2 linked regions of the Caenorhabditis elegans genome follow. The protein of the gene in region 1 interacts with the protein of each later gene in a pairwise test. Each region holds a gene or a part of one and is shown on either strand. Other genes may lie near its edges.

Region 1 (7,669 bases):
AAATGTCAGATTATTGAATTTTTTGAGGATTTATTGATTTTTGTTAAATTATCGATTTTTTCACCACGTAGCACTAACATGTTTTCCGTTGAAAACCAGCGTCGTTCGAAACTTCCGCACCACGTCATCAGTATCGCTCGCCGGCGGGCAAAATGTGAACACAAGCTCAAGTCGGAGGCATCTGAAAAATCGATTTTTTCTGGCTGAGTGGGCGGATTGCCACCTACGCAATAACGGCAACAATCGCGTCGAGACCTCTTTCAATCGATATGAAAACCACGTCGGAGCCGGTGATCGCGCGGCAATTTGAATTCCTGAGAATTTCCGTGAAATTATCGATTTTCTCGAAAATATCCTCCGCCGGAATTGTCGCGTTGCAACCCACATCGATAATTTTCAAATTCCGATTGATTTCCGTCATTTTCTGTGAATGTTTTTTTTTGGGAATTTTTCGGCATATCGATTTTTCCAGTATATGTTCAGCGCTTTTTCGCCTTAAAAGTGTGTGTGAAAATAAAAATCAATAAATAAAATAGTTCATAAAATAGCTAGTAGAATAGTAGAGACCATGAATGATATTGCCGATAATAGTGATAAATAGGCGAAAAAAGTATTTAATTAAAAGCCTAAACATCGGTGACCGTCGCGTCGATTTCAGATTCCAGCACCATTTGTCCCAGCTTCTCCTTTTCCGTCGCATATACCTCGTTGGCTTCGTTGATCTGAGAGAAAAATGGTTGAAACTAACGAAAAATCGATTTTTGATTAAAAAAAAATTAGGCAACTTTTTTAAAGGGAGTGCACCCAGTGGGGAAATTGCTTTAGAACATGCCCATGGGGTCACAATGACCAAATATCATGATAAAAAAATTCGAAAAAATTTTCTAGATTTTATATGACTTTTTGAAAATTGGAAAAATCTCAGTTTTCCCCTAATTCCTTTTTAAATTTCCGCCAATTGGATTCGTTCGGTGGAGCACACTTGCATTATTTTTATTAATTTATTTTATTTTTCTCATTAATTCACTGATTTTCTTCATTTTTTGTGTATTTTTATCGGAAAGACAAAGAAAAATGCAAGATAATTGCAAATTGCTCATTAAAAAATCACTGAAAATGCGTAAAACTGTGAAACATGCTAATTTCAGGCTTGTTGTCGTCAGAACTCATAGTTTTAAAGCTTTACCCGTTTTCAGTGATTTTTTAAACAAACAATTTGCATTTATCTTTATCTTTCCGATAAAAATACACCAAAAATGAAGAAAATCAGTGAAATAATGAGAAAAAAATAAAATAAATTAATAAAAATAATGCAAGTGCGCTCCACCGAATGAATCCAATTGGCGGAAATTCAAAAAGGAATTAGGCAAAAACGGAGATTTTTTCAATTTTCAAAAAATCATATAAAATCTAGAAATTTTTTTTGAATTTTTTATCATGATATTCCGTCATTGTGGTACCATAGGCATGCTTTAAAGCAATTTCCCCACTGGGAGCACTCCACCTTGAAACAAAAAAGCTATATTTTCTTTAAAAAAATTGAATTTTCCCGCCAAAATTTTTCACCGAAATTTTGAATTTTCGTCGCTTTTTTTTCCGATTTTTGTATAGATTTTGTGAGATTTTGTGAGATTTTTCACATTTTCACGTTCCGTACCAAATTCTTATTCGCATAACGTGCGGCGATAACTGTCATCTGCACTTGTTGCCATTGATATTTTTGTTTTTCGGCGTCCGGTAGACCTCGGCGTACATCATATCGATAATCCAACTCCATTGGCATCATTCCTTCAAGTTTCTTGCTCATTTTCACATCGGTGCACCATTCCGATTTTCTCGATTCGGGTCCGTGCTCGGTTTGGAGCATTTTCAACGCCTCCGCTTCAAACGCGATTTCCTCATTTTCAGTCATTTTTCGGCCAAATTTCAGGTAGTTTTTATTGATTAAATCCACCACCGCACTCCAAATAAGTATGGAAAACGAGTCGAAATACTCGAAATTGTCGTCGAACTCCATTTGAACATCTTTAAATGAGGGTGGCTGCCAAACATCTTGCGCTGTAAGCCAGTCGACTCCGCGGAGCTCGTCCTGAAGCTCAATTGCCTTTTGAACCATTATTGGGCTCTGAAAAAGTGCGAAATTAAACATTTAGATGTAATAAGAGAAAACAAAAAAGAATGGGCCGAACCGGGGATTGAACCCGGGACCTCTCGCACCCAAAGCGAGAATCATACCACTAGACCATTCGGCCACGGTTTCCCAAGCTTCTTGGGTGTGTAGACATTTCTGTTGAACAAATTCCGCAGAAATTGACACATGGTGCATCATGTCTTTGCCTCCTGGGAAGCAAAGTTTCGCGGCCGAATGGTCTAGTGGTATGATTCTCGCTTTGGGTGCGAGAGGTCCCGGGTTCAATCCCCGGTTCGGCCCATTCTTTTTTACACACTTACAATCTCTTTCAAGAACTCTCGCTGACAATATTCCTCCATATCCATTCCAGCAAACGTCGTTTCATCGGCTTCCGCCGGCACTCTTGGTGTATCTGTCACTGCTGCCGACGCCGCCGCCGGCGGCAAATTGTCAAAAATCGATTTAAGCCGCGGTGCCGGCGAGTTGTCAAGCAAGAATCCCGAATCGTCAGCGCTATCATTATTGCCACGTGGCTCCAGCTCTTCCTCCAGGCTCTGTTCGAATTCATCGTGATTCACAAAGCGTTTCGTCTCGTCTTGCTCGTCCTCCGGATCTATGATTAGGCCCAGTTTTTCGGGCTCTTTGTGCTCCTCAATTTCATGCTCAAATTGTGTAGCATTCGGGTCCTCCGATCCACCGGATGAGTCTTCTCCGTTGTCTGAAGCGACTAGAGTTTCCGGGGATTTGGAATCAGAATGCTCGGAAACCACTTCCTCCAGATTCTCTGATTCTGTAGTGACTGATACCTCAGACACCACGGGAATCTCCAATTCCATGGATTCAGATTCAGATTCCTGAGCTTCCATCGATTCTCTCTCCTTCTTAACTTGCTCCAAATAGTGCGAAAGTCCTGCAGAAAGTCGCCGCGCCGATTCTGAATCCAGAGAAACTCGGCCACTACGTGGCGTCGTCTCTTCCACAGTGGACGGGAAGCTTATATCAGTCTTCAGACGGGAAAATGGCTCGGCGACAGTCTCCAGGCTCTCATTGTGCAGTGAAATGCTATTGAGCATACTATCAAACTCGGCAATCGTCGACACGGGCGCCGTCATCGAAAGTGTCACTGGTGGCCGCTGAGGTTCGGCGGAAACTTCGGCCAGCACCGGTTCAACCACAGGCGGTGTAGTCTGCGAGGACGAGTTGTGTTTCTCCAACAATTGTGAAAGATCCAACGGTTCAACACCAATTCTTCGGGGACTCGTCTGAGTCATTGCAGACTCGGCGAGCCGTGACGTCATTTGTGTCGATGCTTCTCTCATTGAAGGGGGCGGGGCTGCGTCCGACGATGATTGTTGGTTCAGTTGTGATGATGGATTGATCTACAAAAATCAGATTTTTTGAGATTTCTTGAAAAGATCCGCCTATTTTTATGAAATTAGCCAATAAAGGGGCGGGGTTTCATCCGCCTATTTTAAGCGATTTGAAATTCTCTTAAAATAGGCGGATTTTTAAAAGAAATTTGCCAAAAAACGGCTTAATTTACCTTAACAGCTATGCTCTTTCGACTCGTGTTAAGTGATCGATTGAGACTTTTGCTGTTTCTGTGCAACGTGGCGACATTTCGAAAATGGTCGATTGTGATCTTCATTTTTCGCGCCAATTCCAGCATTTCACGGGCGGTTTGAATGTCGAATTCGCGAAACGGCAACGCCATCCAGTTGTCGATGGAGCGCAAAAGCCGCTGATTGTACGGATCGCCGGAGAATGGTTGGCTGTAAACAAAAACCTTAAGAAGCCAAGATATGGGCGCGGAGCCTAAAGAGCAAAAAAATCAAATTTTTTCTTGGAATTTCTACCTTGAAACGAGTTGATGTATAGCCAATTGTGCTTGAGTAAGCTTATCAATTCGATCCTTTAATTCCTGAATGACCGCCCGTTTTTTTGCGTTCTGCGTCTCCACTTCTATGAGTTTCCGTACAGCCTCTGCTTCATTTCGTCGTTTTTTTGCCTCTTCAGCAATTATTGGTGATCTATTAGCGGCCGCGAGATTCTGTAAGAACTTTGGCGACGGTTATGTAGATCAAACATCCGATTTTACGCGCAAATTCAAATTTCAGCAAATTTTTGGTAGGAAATATTAATTTTTAATTGTAAGTGTGTGTTTTTATTTTATTTTTTTAGAATTTTAAAGTCTTTCGGTGTAAAAATTCAATTTTCTGTCGATCACATGCTGCAACTGCGCTCTGGTGCTAATTTATCATTGGAGCGCATTTACAGTAAGTTTCAGCTCAAAATTGACAGAAAAACGTGATTTCTGCTCAAAAATCTGGGAATTGAGTGAAAAATTAAAATTTCCCGCCGATCGCATGTTGCAACTGCGCTCCAATGTCAAATTCGCATCAGAGCGCACTTGCATTATGCGATCGGTGGGAAATGTGAATTTATACAGATGTTTTTTTCATTTTTTGACAATTTCGAGCGAAAAATATGGATTTTTAATTCAAAATTGGCGAAAAAAATCCAATTTTTCGGCGGAAACCCCCAGGAAAAATCGGGTTTTACTGATTTTTTCGAGAAATTTTCCAATTCCTGTACCTTGATGCTCTCCAGCTTTGTCATTTGACGTTCAACACCAACAACAACTCGATCCGAATACTGTAGCTGAATTTGATGCGTCGCGACGAGGGTATCAACATATGAGGTGCGACGAATCGGTGTTTCCGTGGTTTTTTTCACCAAAGGCGACTCAATACGTGGCACACGCGGCTTCAAAGTGTCAATCGGTGGCGGTTGGGATGAGCTACGTGTCACTTTGGCTCTGGGCTCCAGCTGCTCCGAGCTCTCCTGAATCGTCTGCTGACGGGCTTCATGGGGTGAGTGGCCGGAGATCATGAGCTCCTGCATTCTTGAAAAGTTTTCCTCCATTTTCCGGCTCAGACAAGACGTGTATTGCTCTGATAACGGGGTTCTTGGCACTGAAAATTATGAAAATTAGGTTTTTTTTTGAAAGAAATTCAAAAAATTACAATATCTTGGCGGTTTTGAAGACACCGGCGTCGCATCACTGCTACGTGGCTTTTGTGACTTTTTCGACGTGGATGGAGTGACAAATTCGTCATCGGCGGGCTCCGGTGTGAAGTATTGATCGCTGGACGGGGAGGCTTCTGGGGTTGCGGAGTTGCGGCGGCGGGCGATTCGTAGATCACGAGCTTTATCTTTAAGCCGACGATCTTCGTCGTAACGTTCGTAGTCTTCTCGTGTTGGTTGGGGGTTTGCTGGAAATTTAAAAAATTTTTTAAATTAACAAAAAAATTTCAAAAAAACCATTTTTCCTCATTTTTCCCCAATTTTTTCCCAAAGAAAACCTACCCATTGATACAAAAACCGGCTTCTCGCCTTCCTCCATGTTTTCCTTGTTTCTGAAACTCAGAAAATAAATAAATGGTTGCCATGGGGAATTTCCCCCTGCTTACCTTATTTTTTCGTGGTGATCGCGATATTTCGGCTCGAGGAGCACACTTTTCGCGGGTTTTTCGTCGTTTTTTGCGAGCCACGACTTGAAACTGCCCTTAAATACAGGAATTTTCGACATTACGCGGGGAAAATAGTGCGAAAAATTGATTTCGCGTTTGAATTAAAGAATATTTTCGCGGCGACGCCAGTGTGTGCAAACACCGTCACGCGAAAATGCAGACGGCGAGAGAGTGTGGGGAGACGAGGAGACGCAGGGTTTTCTTTGCTGTTTCTTTGTTGATTAATTGCAGATTTTACAGGATTCTCGGGTCAAAAATAGCGGAAAAGTGGGAAAAAAAACTTGAAAACCCTTAAAAATCAGTATAAAATTGATAAATTATTAAATATACAGCTTCTAAACAGTTTCAAGTCAAAAATCAGATTTTTCAAACTAAAAATGATTTTTACCATTTTTGAAACCAATTATTATTATTAATTACCCAAATTCGATAAAAACTCGCTCGAAAACCGAGATTCCTACATTTCGCAAAAATTTCAGTTCCGAAAAATGCGCGCGTCACGCTTGCAACCGGTAGGACATGCCCACTTTTCCGTGCGCGGTCTGCAATTTTTATCCGATTTCAAAATTTTCTGTAATTTCCAGACAAAGAAACGTCCACTTTTATTATTCCAAAGCGGAAAATCATATAAACGGGGGCTTTTTCTAAACAAACAGACAATTTGGGGGCGGTGGGGCGGAGTCAACACGAAAATTTTAAGTAAAGAAAAAATTGGGATTGAAAATAATAATAATATGAATATTGAAGTCGAAATGTGTGCAGGAAAGGGGCGGAGTATAATTTAACGGGGAAAAATTGTAGAAAACGGGGGGCGGAGAAAGGCAATGAAATGGGCGGTGCTTAAAAACGGGGGCGGGGCTTATGTGTGTGAGACATCACAAAGATATTTAAAAATCGGGAGAGATATGAAAATTGTGACTTAAACAGAGAACGGGGGACCCGATATATATATATTTCATTTTCAACATTTTGAAAATGAATTTGTTGAAATTTTGGGAAATTTTTGAAAAAAAATCACATTTTTTGAAATTTTCAGGAAAAAAAGTTGGAAAATTTTAATAATTTTAGCTTGAAATTTTATTAGAATTGTTTGAAAATTCAGATTTTTGCAGATTATTCCCAAATTTTGGTTGAAAAATGGCTAAAAACTCAAAAATAAAATCTACCAAATTTCAGAATTTCTTAGAAAATAGTGGATGATCGTATGAAAATTTGTGAATTTTGGCTAAAAACTCGAAATTTTTGATAATTTCAGCTGAAAATGAACTAAAAAAAAAAAATGTAAAATCCGCAAAAATCTCAATTTTCTAACAAATTTTGCCTGAAAATTCGATTAAAATCGCCAAATTTTAAATTAAAAATTTCCGGGGGAAAAGGGGGAATATTTCACAAAATTGGGGAATTCTTGGGGGCAAAAAAATGGAAGAAAAAAAACTCGCAACATTTCGAAGAGGAACACATGATAACAGGGAAATTATACCAGAATTACGTAAGGAGAAGAGAGATTTTTTGTTTTTTGGAGAGAGAGTTGTTGTGTGGGGGAAAGATTTTCAGAATTGGATGGAAGGGGTCAAATTTGAATATTTTTGAATGAGGGGAAAGCAATGGGACAAAAAAAAAAGGCAAAAGTGAAGGAAGAACTAAAAATATTTCAATTCATATATAAAAATGATTGAGCGGTGATGATGATTATGATTGGAGAGAGGAATTATAATTAATAACAAACAAAAAAACAAAATCAACGATAGAATTCTCGATTGATTCATTAGACGTTTATTTCTTCTTTGGGACGAATGTGATGGGCTCTGAAACAAATTGGATTATTTTTGGGGTTTTAAGAGAATTTTTCAAGTTTTTGGGATTTTTAGGACAAATTTCCAATTTTTTCTGGTTCTGGACTTTTTGAAGATAATTTTTCGGTTTTTTTGGCATTTTTAAGATAAATTTTCAATTTTTTTTTGGACTTTTTGAAGATTTTAAAAAGGTTTTTTGGCATTTTTAAGAG
Region 2 (5,931 bases), on another chromosome or scaffold:
GTCCGCGTTTTATCGGTTAAAAACGATAAGGAAACTTGAGCTCTACTAGGAATTGGAGTACGCTGTTTTATCAGTTCCAACCAAGCCTGCCACACATCTGTAAACAAATGTTAGAGAATATGCGAAATGAAGAACACGATAAATGAAGTTTGAATGAAAGTACAAAGACTAGTCGTGAGGACTGAGCAAGATGTATGGAGTTGTAGAGAATACCAAAAGCAAAATTCTTTAAACATCCTGTTTTTTGGTATTCATACTTTGGCTAATTTTATAAAGTAATTGACCACAAAAATGAGAAAGAAGCATAAACGGAAGAATTGTATTAAAAAAACAAAACACTGTATTTCCAAAAATTTCAAAATTCCAATTCATGCTGATTAGCAGCTCGCGGACTTTAATATTTGAAAAAGAAGAGGTGTGGTTGATTTTTAGTTTTTTAAAGGTTAAATAATTAAAGCGATGTTTCGAATTATTTTGGAATTCCAATCATAGTTTCAATTCGATGCTTTTTCAATTTCGAAAATGCACAATTTTTAAGAACTTTTTAGCAAGGGTTTTATGACTCACAAAACTCTTTAATCAGAATAAAATGTTAACCAGAACACTTGAAAAGTTACGCTCCGCCGGTAGGTAGGTCTTCCTACCTACCTAGTTATATTCGTCTGCAATTTGGCACAAAATCTAGAGGTACAAGACAGCGCGTAGGTAACCTTCGAGTTTTTTGTGCCTACAAGGGAATTCGTTCACTGTTGCAAGATTCACCTATTTTGTTGTTATCAAATTATTGCGATGAACTTTTAAGGAATTACTGTAGCTGTTTTTTTGTGAAAAATAACACAGATGGTCTTTTTAAGATAAGACACCTCAAGTTCAGTAGACAACAAGAGTAAACAAAGTTTTTTCAGGAAATACTTGTAGCTTTTGAATTACAGTTTAAGAGAGAATTGAATTGATGAAGAGATTTTGATTGAACCTTCACATCTTCAAAATTCTAGAATTTTTAAAATTAAACATTTTTGAATATGACAATACAAGCGAAAATATTCTGTCAATTAAATCCAGATAAATTTGTAAATCCTTAAAAATTAAATTGAAAGGAATCTAGAAGACAAAATGTTTCAGTTCTGAAATATTCCATTGTTGCCGATTATGTTCTGTTGTAACCTTATTAACATTTCATTCGTCATAGTTTCTAGTAAAAAGTTTCAGACTTTGCGGTTCTTAACACCTTTTTTCAAATGTCAACTTCCTCATCATTCCCAGTCAAATGTCATTTTGTTTCATAAATACAAAGAATGTAAGAAAGAGTAGTTTCTTTTTTTCTTCTTTTCACCCCCTCCCCTCCGTTTTCCATCTCTAAACTCGGACTGATAAGTCACCATAAAAGAGAGTGGAATCGAGCATTGCCAACTGATAACCCTCTTTCTTTGCTCTCTCAAAATGCCATTGTAAAATCAAACCTACTACTCCGCGTTTTGTACGGTTTGGTGTTAAGACTCTTTATTTTTTTGAAGATTGAACGTTTATTATTGGTGTTGGTTTTTTAACTGCTGAAAGTGTGAAAATAACATTGTTTTCTTATTCTATTTATTTTTATCTTCTTTTGTTATTAACATCTTTTGTTTTATTTTCAAAATTTTAGCGACTTCATCATGTCGGCGGTTAGTTATTCGATGCACAGAACCACCACAACTACATCCTCCTCATCACACGGAGGTAAGCACTTTTCTTCAAATTTCCAACAGTCACACGACCTCGAGAGTTTTCTCCGAGGAATCCATAATATGGTGACACTAGTTTGTCTGAAATTGATCTCCTCCATTGTCTCAATCTTTTTCTTTGTTTCAAATCTCTTTGTCGGCTTTATTGACACCGTTGTGAACTCCTTTCACACATTGCCGACTAATCCTAGCAGTTTCTCTAGATTATGGGCTTAAGTTAAAATAACTGATGTTTAAATAAAACCATAAGTTTCGACAAATTAAACTCGATCTTAACTTTTAATTCACGATATCAATAAAGAATTGAGACGAGAACTGCAGCGTAGGGACAAACTGCAAAATGGCCTGTTCCTAGATGGTAGCATATAATACTTTTCAGTGAAAAATCAGATTGTTTATGACAAGATAGATCACTCTTATAAGTAGGAATTTTCTGATTGCTAGCCCAAATTGTGAAAAAAAAAGAATAAATATGCCACATTTAACCAATTTACTCTGCTCCTGCTTTGCATTACTTTGACAAATCATATCTCGATTGTTATTATTTCATCAAATAATTTTCAACACTAAAATCACTCTACATTGTTATAATTAAACAATTTTGATGAAGCCTACAACAATTAATATGAGCTGTCAAAATGAAGCAGTGGGAGTGCAAGACTAATAGGAAAAACGGTATATAACACGGAAAATTGTATATCTTAAATCTCAAAGTACAACATTAGCTGTAACTAACTCTATTTTTTAAAATTTCTATTTTAATATTGTGAAAAAATTTGGAAAACAGAGGTTTATTCAGACTTTTGTTTTACATATTCGTACTAAATTAATTTTTAAAAAATGAGTTTGTATTGCTTTTTCCAAACCCTTCACAATAAGACACTTTCACAAAATTTAGTTTATAACAATAAAAAATATGGTCCTTCTTGGAGCACTGCTTAAACATCGGAACACAGTTTACATAATATTTCAGGTGTCTCAGCCGGCCATGCCGCTGAGGAGTTCGTTGCCTCTGCCGAGCGCGAGAAGCAAGAGATGCAGCAGTTGAACTCTCGCCTTGAAGTTTACATCAGCCGTGTCCGTCAACTTGAGGATCGTAACAAGGAGCTTGTGATTGAATTGGACACCCTCCGAGGATCACTTGGAAATGACATCGGACAGATCAAGGTTTGTGCCCCGAAATTACAGGAGAATCTGAAACACTTTTAGTTGTTGACACAATTTCTCTCTTATCAGATAATATCAATTCTTCTCAAACAAAGCGCCCGTTGCCAAATGTGCAGGCGTAAGGAATTTAAAAGAGAAACTGAAAATGGCACTGATAAGATGACAAGTAGTGCTCTGGAGGAAATGGGTGTGTATGTGTGTGTTAAGATTGCCAATAAAATTAATTGAAATTGATCTTGAGGGGTTAATAATGTTGCATCAGAATAATAAACTCAACGTTTTGTAGTTCAAATTCAACGATTCGTTGGTCAAAGTTCGCCGTGAGATCTCAGAAGCTCATTCTGGAACTATTGGAGTTGAAGTTAAGGTCGACAGATTGAGAGATGATTTGAATGACTACAGACACAGGTAACAATTTATTTGCATATTCCATTCTAATGGCAAATATTTCAGATATGAAGAGGCCCGTCGTGAAGTTGAGCGTGAGAAGACCACTTGGGGAGGAGCTATTTCACAAGCACAAGCTGAGCTTGACACAAACAAGTCCCGCTATGCCGCCATTTTGGACGAGGAAAAGAGACTTTATGCTGAACAAGATCAACTCTATCTTCAATTGGCTGCCGCCAAGGATGAGCTTGACGCCGCAATTGTTGATCGCCGCCGCCTTCAAGCTGAGGAAGATGACCTCAAGATTGAGCTGGAATTCTTGGGAAGAATCCACTCTCAAGAAATCACTGAGCTTCGCACTCTTCTTGCTCAAGCTCCAGCCGACACAAGAGAGTTCTTCAAGAATGAATTGGCTCTTGCTATCAGGTTGGATTCAAAAAAAATGATATAGTTTTATTGTCTAATTTAAATTATTTCAGAGAAATCAAGGCTGAATACGACAAGATCATCCAAACCACCAGAGTTGATCTTGAGACAATCTTCCAGAGCAAGATTAGCGCCGTCGAATCATCAATCGTCTCCAAGAACGAGGCTGCCGTTTTCCGTCAAGAGGAGATCAGAAAGATGAACGAGAGCATCACCACATTGCGAGCCAAGCTCAGCGAGCTCGAAGCCCGTAACTCTGCTTTGGAGAGAGAAGCCAACACACTCCAGATTCAACTCGGAGAAGATCAAAGAGCTTACGAATCAGAGCTTCACAAGAGAGACAATGCCCTCCGATTTATGCGTGAAGACTGCCAGACTTTGATTGCTGAACTTCAAGCTCTTCTTAACACCAAACAAACTTTGGATACTGAGATTGCCATCTACAGAAAGCTTGTCGAGTCCGAGGAAGGAAGGTAATATAAGTAACAAAAATATCTCTCAAAAAGAGCAACATATACTTTAATTGATTGTCTCATTCTTCCATTTTATCATTTCCTTACTTTCACAGATTCACTCATGTTGGACAGGGGGTCGTTGTCGCCCAGCAGGAGACTACAAGGTTCGGTAGCTATAACCGCTTCATAGACATTAACATACTGCACACGTAGATATTTAGAATCTAGTTTTATTTCCTAGTTGACTTCCAGAACAGAAGGGGATTCCACTCCCGTTGTTTTAAATGATCAGCAATACTCTGACAGTCATCAATATCAGCAATATCCTGAGTAGGAATCTTTAATAGAATCAAGATATATTATATGTAATACCTTTCAGAGTGTATCCGCAAGGAACTTTAAGGTATCCTAGATTGTAGATTAGTTATTCATAGTATAGTTTTCATAGATCATCTCAACATCAAATTGGCAGAGGTACCAATGTACTAGTTTCAGATCAAAGGTTACTCGTAGTGATACAGTAGTTTATAGCTAATTGCTTTCACAATTCATGCTCTTTCACTTGCACTTTTTCTCTTTTTCACGCACTTCCTTATCTCAACACACTGCTTACTTTTCACATCACCTATTTATCATTTTCTTGGCTAACAATTTTTGTTAGTCAGCAAATCTCAAGGCTTTTAGCTGAAAACATGCACTTTCAGCTTAATCTATCCCCGTTAATTTTAAATTGTTATATTAAATTCTACAGATTGGTACCAGTCGAGCAAGATCACTGGGACTCTGGAGAGGTTCAAACTCGTTCCTCATTCAAGAGACACGCTAAGGGAAATGTGAGCATCGTTGAGTGCGATCCACAAGGAAAGTACATCATTCTTGAAAACACCAGTGGATCAGTTGTGAGTTTAGATCTTTATTTTTATTTTGAACATGAAAAATTGGAAAATTGCAGGCCGAAGATGTAAGCAACTTTGAAATCCGTCGTGTTATTGATGGAGTTCAAGCCTTCGTTTTCCGTCTCCCATCTCACTTAGTTATTCAACAACACGGACATCTTAAGGTATTAATTATTATAAAATTAGATATCATATTGAAACCGGAATATTACAGATCTACGGACGCAATTCAGGAGGAATTAACTCACCACCAGACTCAATTGTGATGGAATCTCACCCATCATGGGGACAAGGAGGACAAGTTGAAACATTCTTGTACAATAGTCACGGAATTGAGAAGGCTTCGCACATCCAGACGACGGTCGCTTCTTCCCGTTAAGAAATCTCCATCATCTAATCGATTTCTTTTTCGATGAATTTAAATTTATTCTGAAATGCCCATTGAATCCTTTCCTTGCTGTCTTCACTCCCAAAATCATTCGACGTACATACTTGCTACATTCCAATCCAATTGTTTTTTGAAATAAATTGTTCAATATTGTTTTAGTTCAAAATCATTGATGATTAAAAGAAGTGTACTTATCACGATACTTCCCAAAAAAAATTTCTTGGTCAAAAGTGGGTCACGATAACTCGGTCTAAAACCATTTCTAAAAAAAATTTTTTTCGCTTTTTTTTTCGACAATTGTTTTAAGCCATTTAGTTATGGTTTTCGAAGGTTTTTTATAATAGTAATAATAATTAAAATTAGGAGTGGTTTTGAACCGAGTTGTCGTGACTCGCTCTTGACTGAGACTACATTAAAATACATTCTACAGAATTTTTGGAAATGATTGAACACGTTGCAAGCTGTACATATATTTTTCAGCACTAAGGGAA

Evidence for each region. Proteins that work in one complex are often made in the same cells at the same time.
Region 2: the proteins of rsa-2 (region 1) and ifb-2 interact in a two-hybrid assay, tested with the Caenorhabditis elegans proteins (one large-scale study listed by BioGRID).

The regions. Positions count from the first base shown.
Region 1 is NC_003281.10:11,061,610-11,069,278, reverse strand, and holds rsa-2 (Regulator of spindle assembly protein 2), read right to left. Parts: upstream 5,801-7,669; 5' UTR 5,724-5,800; coding exon 5,605-5,723; intron 5,551-5,604; coding exon 5,501-5,550; intron 5,407-5,500; coding exon 5,158-5,406; intron 5,107-5,157; coding exon 4,727-5,106; intron 4,191-4,726; coding exon 3,988-4,190; intron 3,904-3,987; coding exon 3,675-3,903; intron 3,511-3,674; coding exon 2,452-3,510; intron 2,442-2,451; exon of another isoform or gene 2,354-2,441; intron 2,253-2,353; exon of another isoform or gene 2,181-2,252; intron 2,126-2,180; coding exon 1,658-2,125; intron 723-1,657; coding exon 627-722; 3' UTR 520-626; downstream 1-519. Other genes in the region: W09D6.1 (AMP-dependent synthetase/ligase domain-containing protein), read right to left, coding at 79-181, 228-421; spat-2 (Protein lilliputian), read right to left, coding at 7,438-7,469. UniProt on the Caenorhabditis elegans protein: Recruits rsa-1 and, thereby, phosphatase let-92/paa-1 complex to the centrosomes. Recruits sys-1/beta-catenin to mitotic centrosomes during the first embryonic cell divisions.
Region 2 is NC_003280.10:5,748,548-5,754,478, forward strand, and holds ifb-2 (Intermediate filament protein ifb-2), read left to right. Parts: upstream 1-1,652; coding exon 1,653-1,716; intron 1,717-2,694; coding exon 2,695-2,888; intron 2,889-3,174; coding exon 3,175-3,296; intron 3,297-3,341; coding exon 3,342-3,701; intron 3,702-3,754; coding exon 3,755-4,174; intron 4,175-4,269; coding exon 4,270-4,320; intron 4,321-4,408; coding exon 4,409-4,486; intron 4,487-4,535; coding exon 4,536-4,559; intron 4,560-4,907; coding exon 4,908-5,055; intron 5,056-5,108; coding exon 5,109-5,216; intron 5,217-5,266; coding exon 5,267-5,431; downstream 5,432-5,931. UniProt on the Caenorhabditis elegans protein: Cytoplasmic intermediate filaments provide mechanical strength to cells. Not essential protein.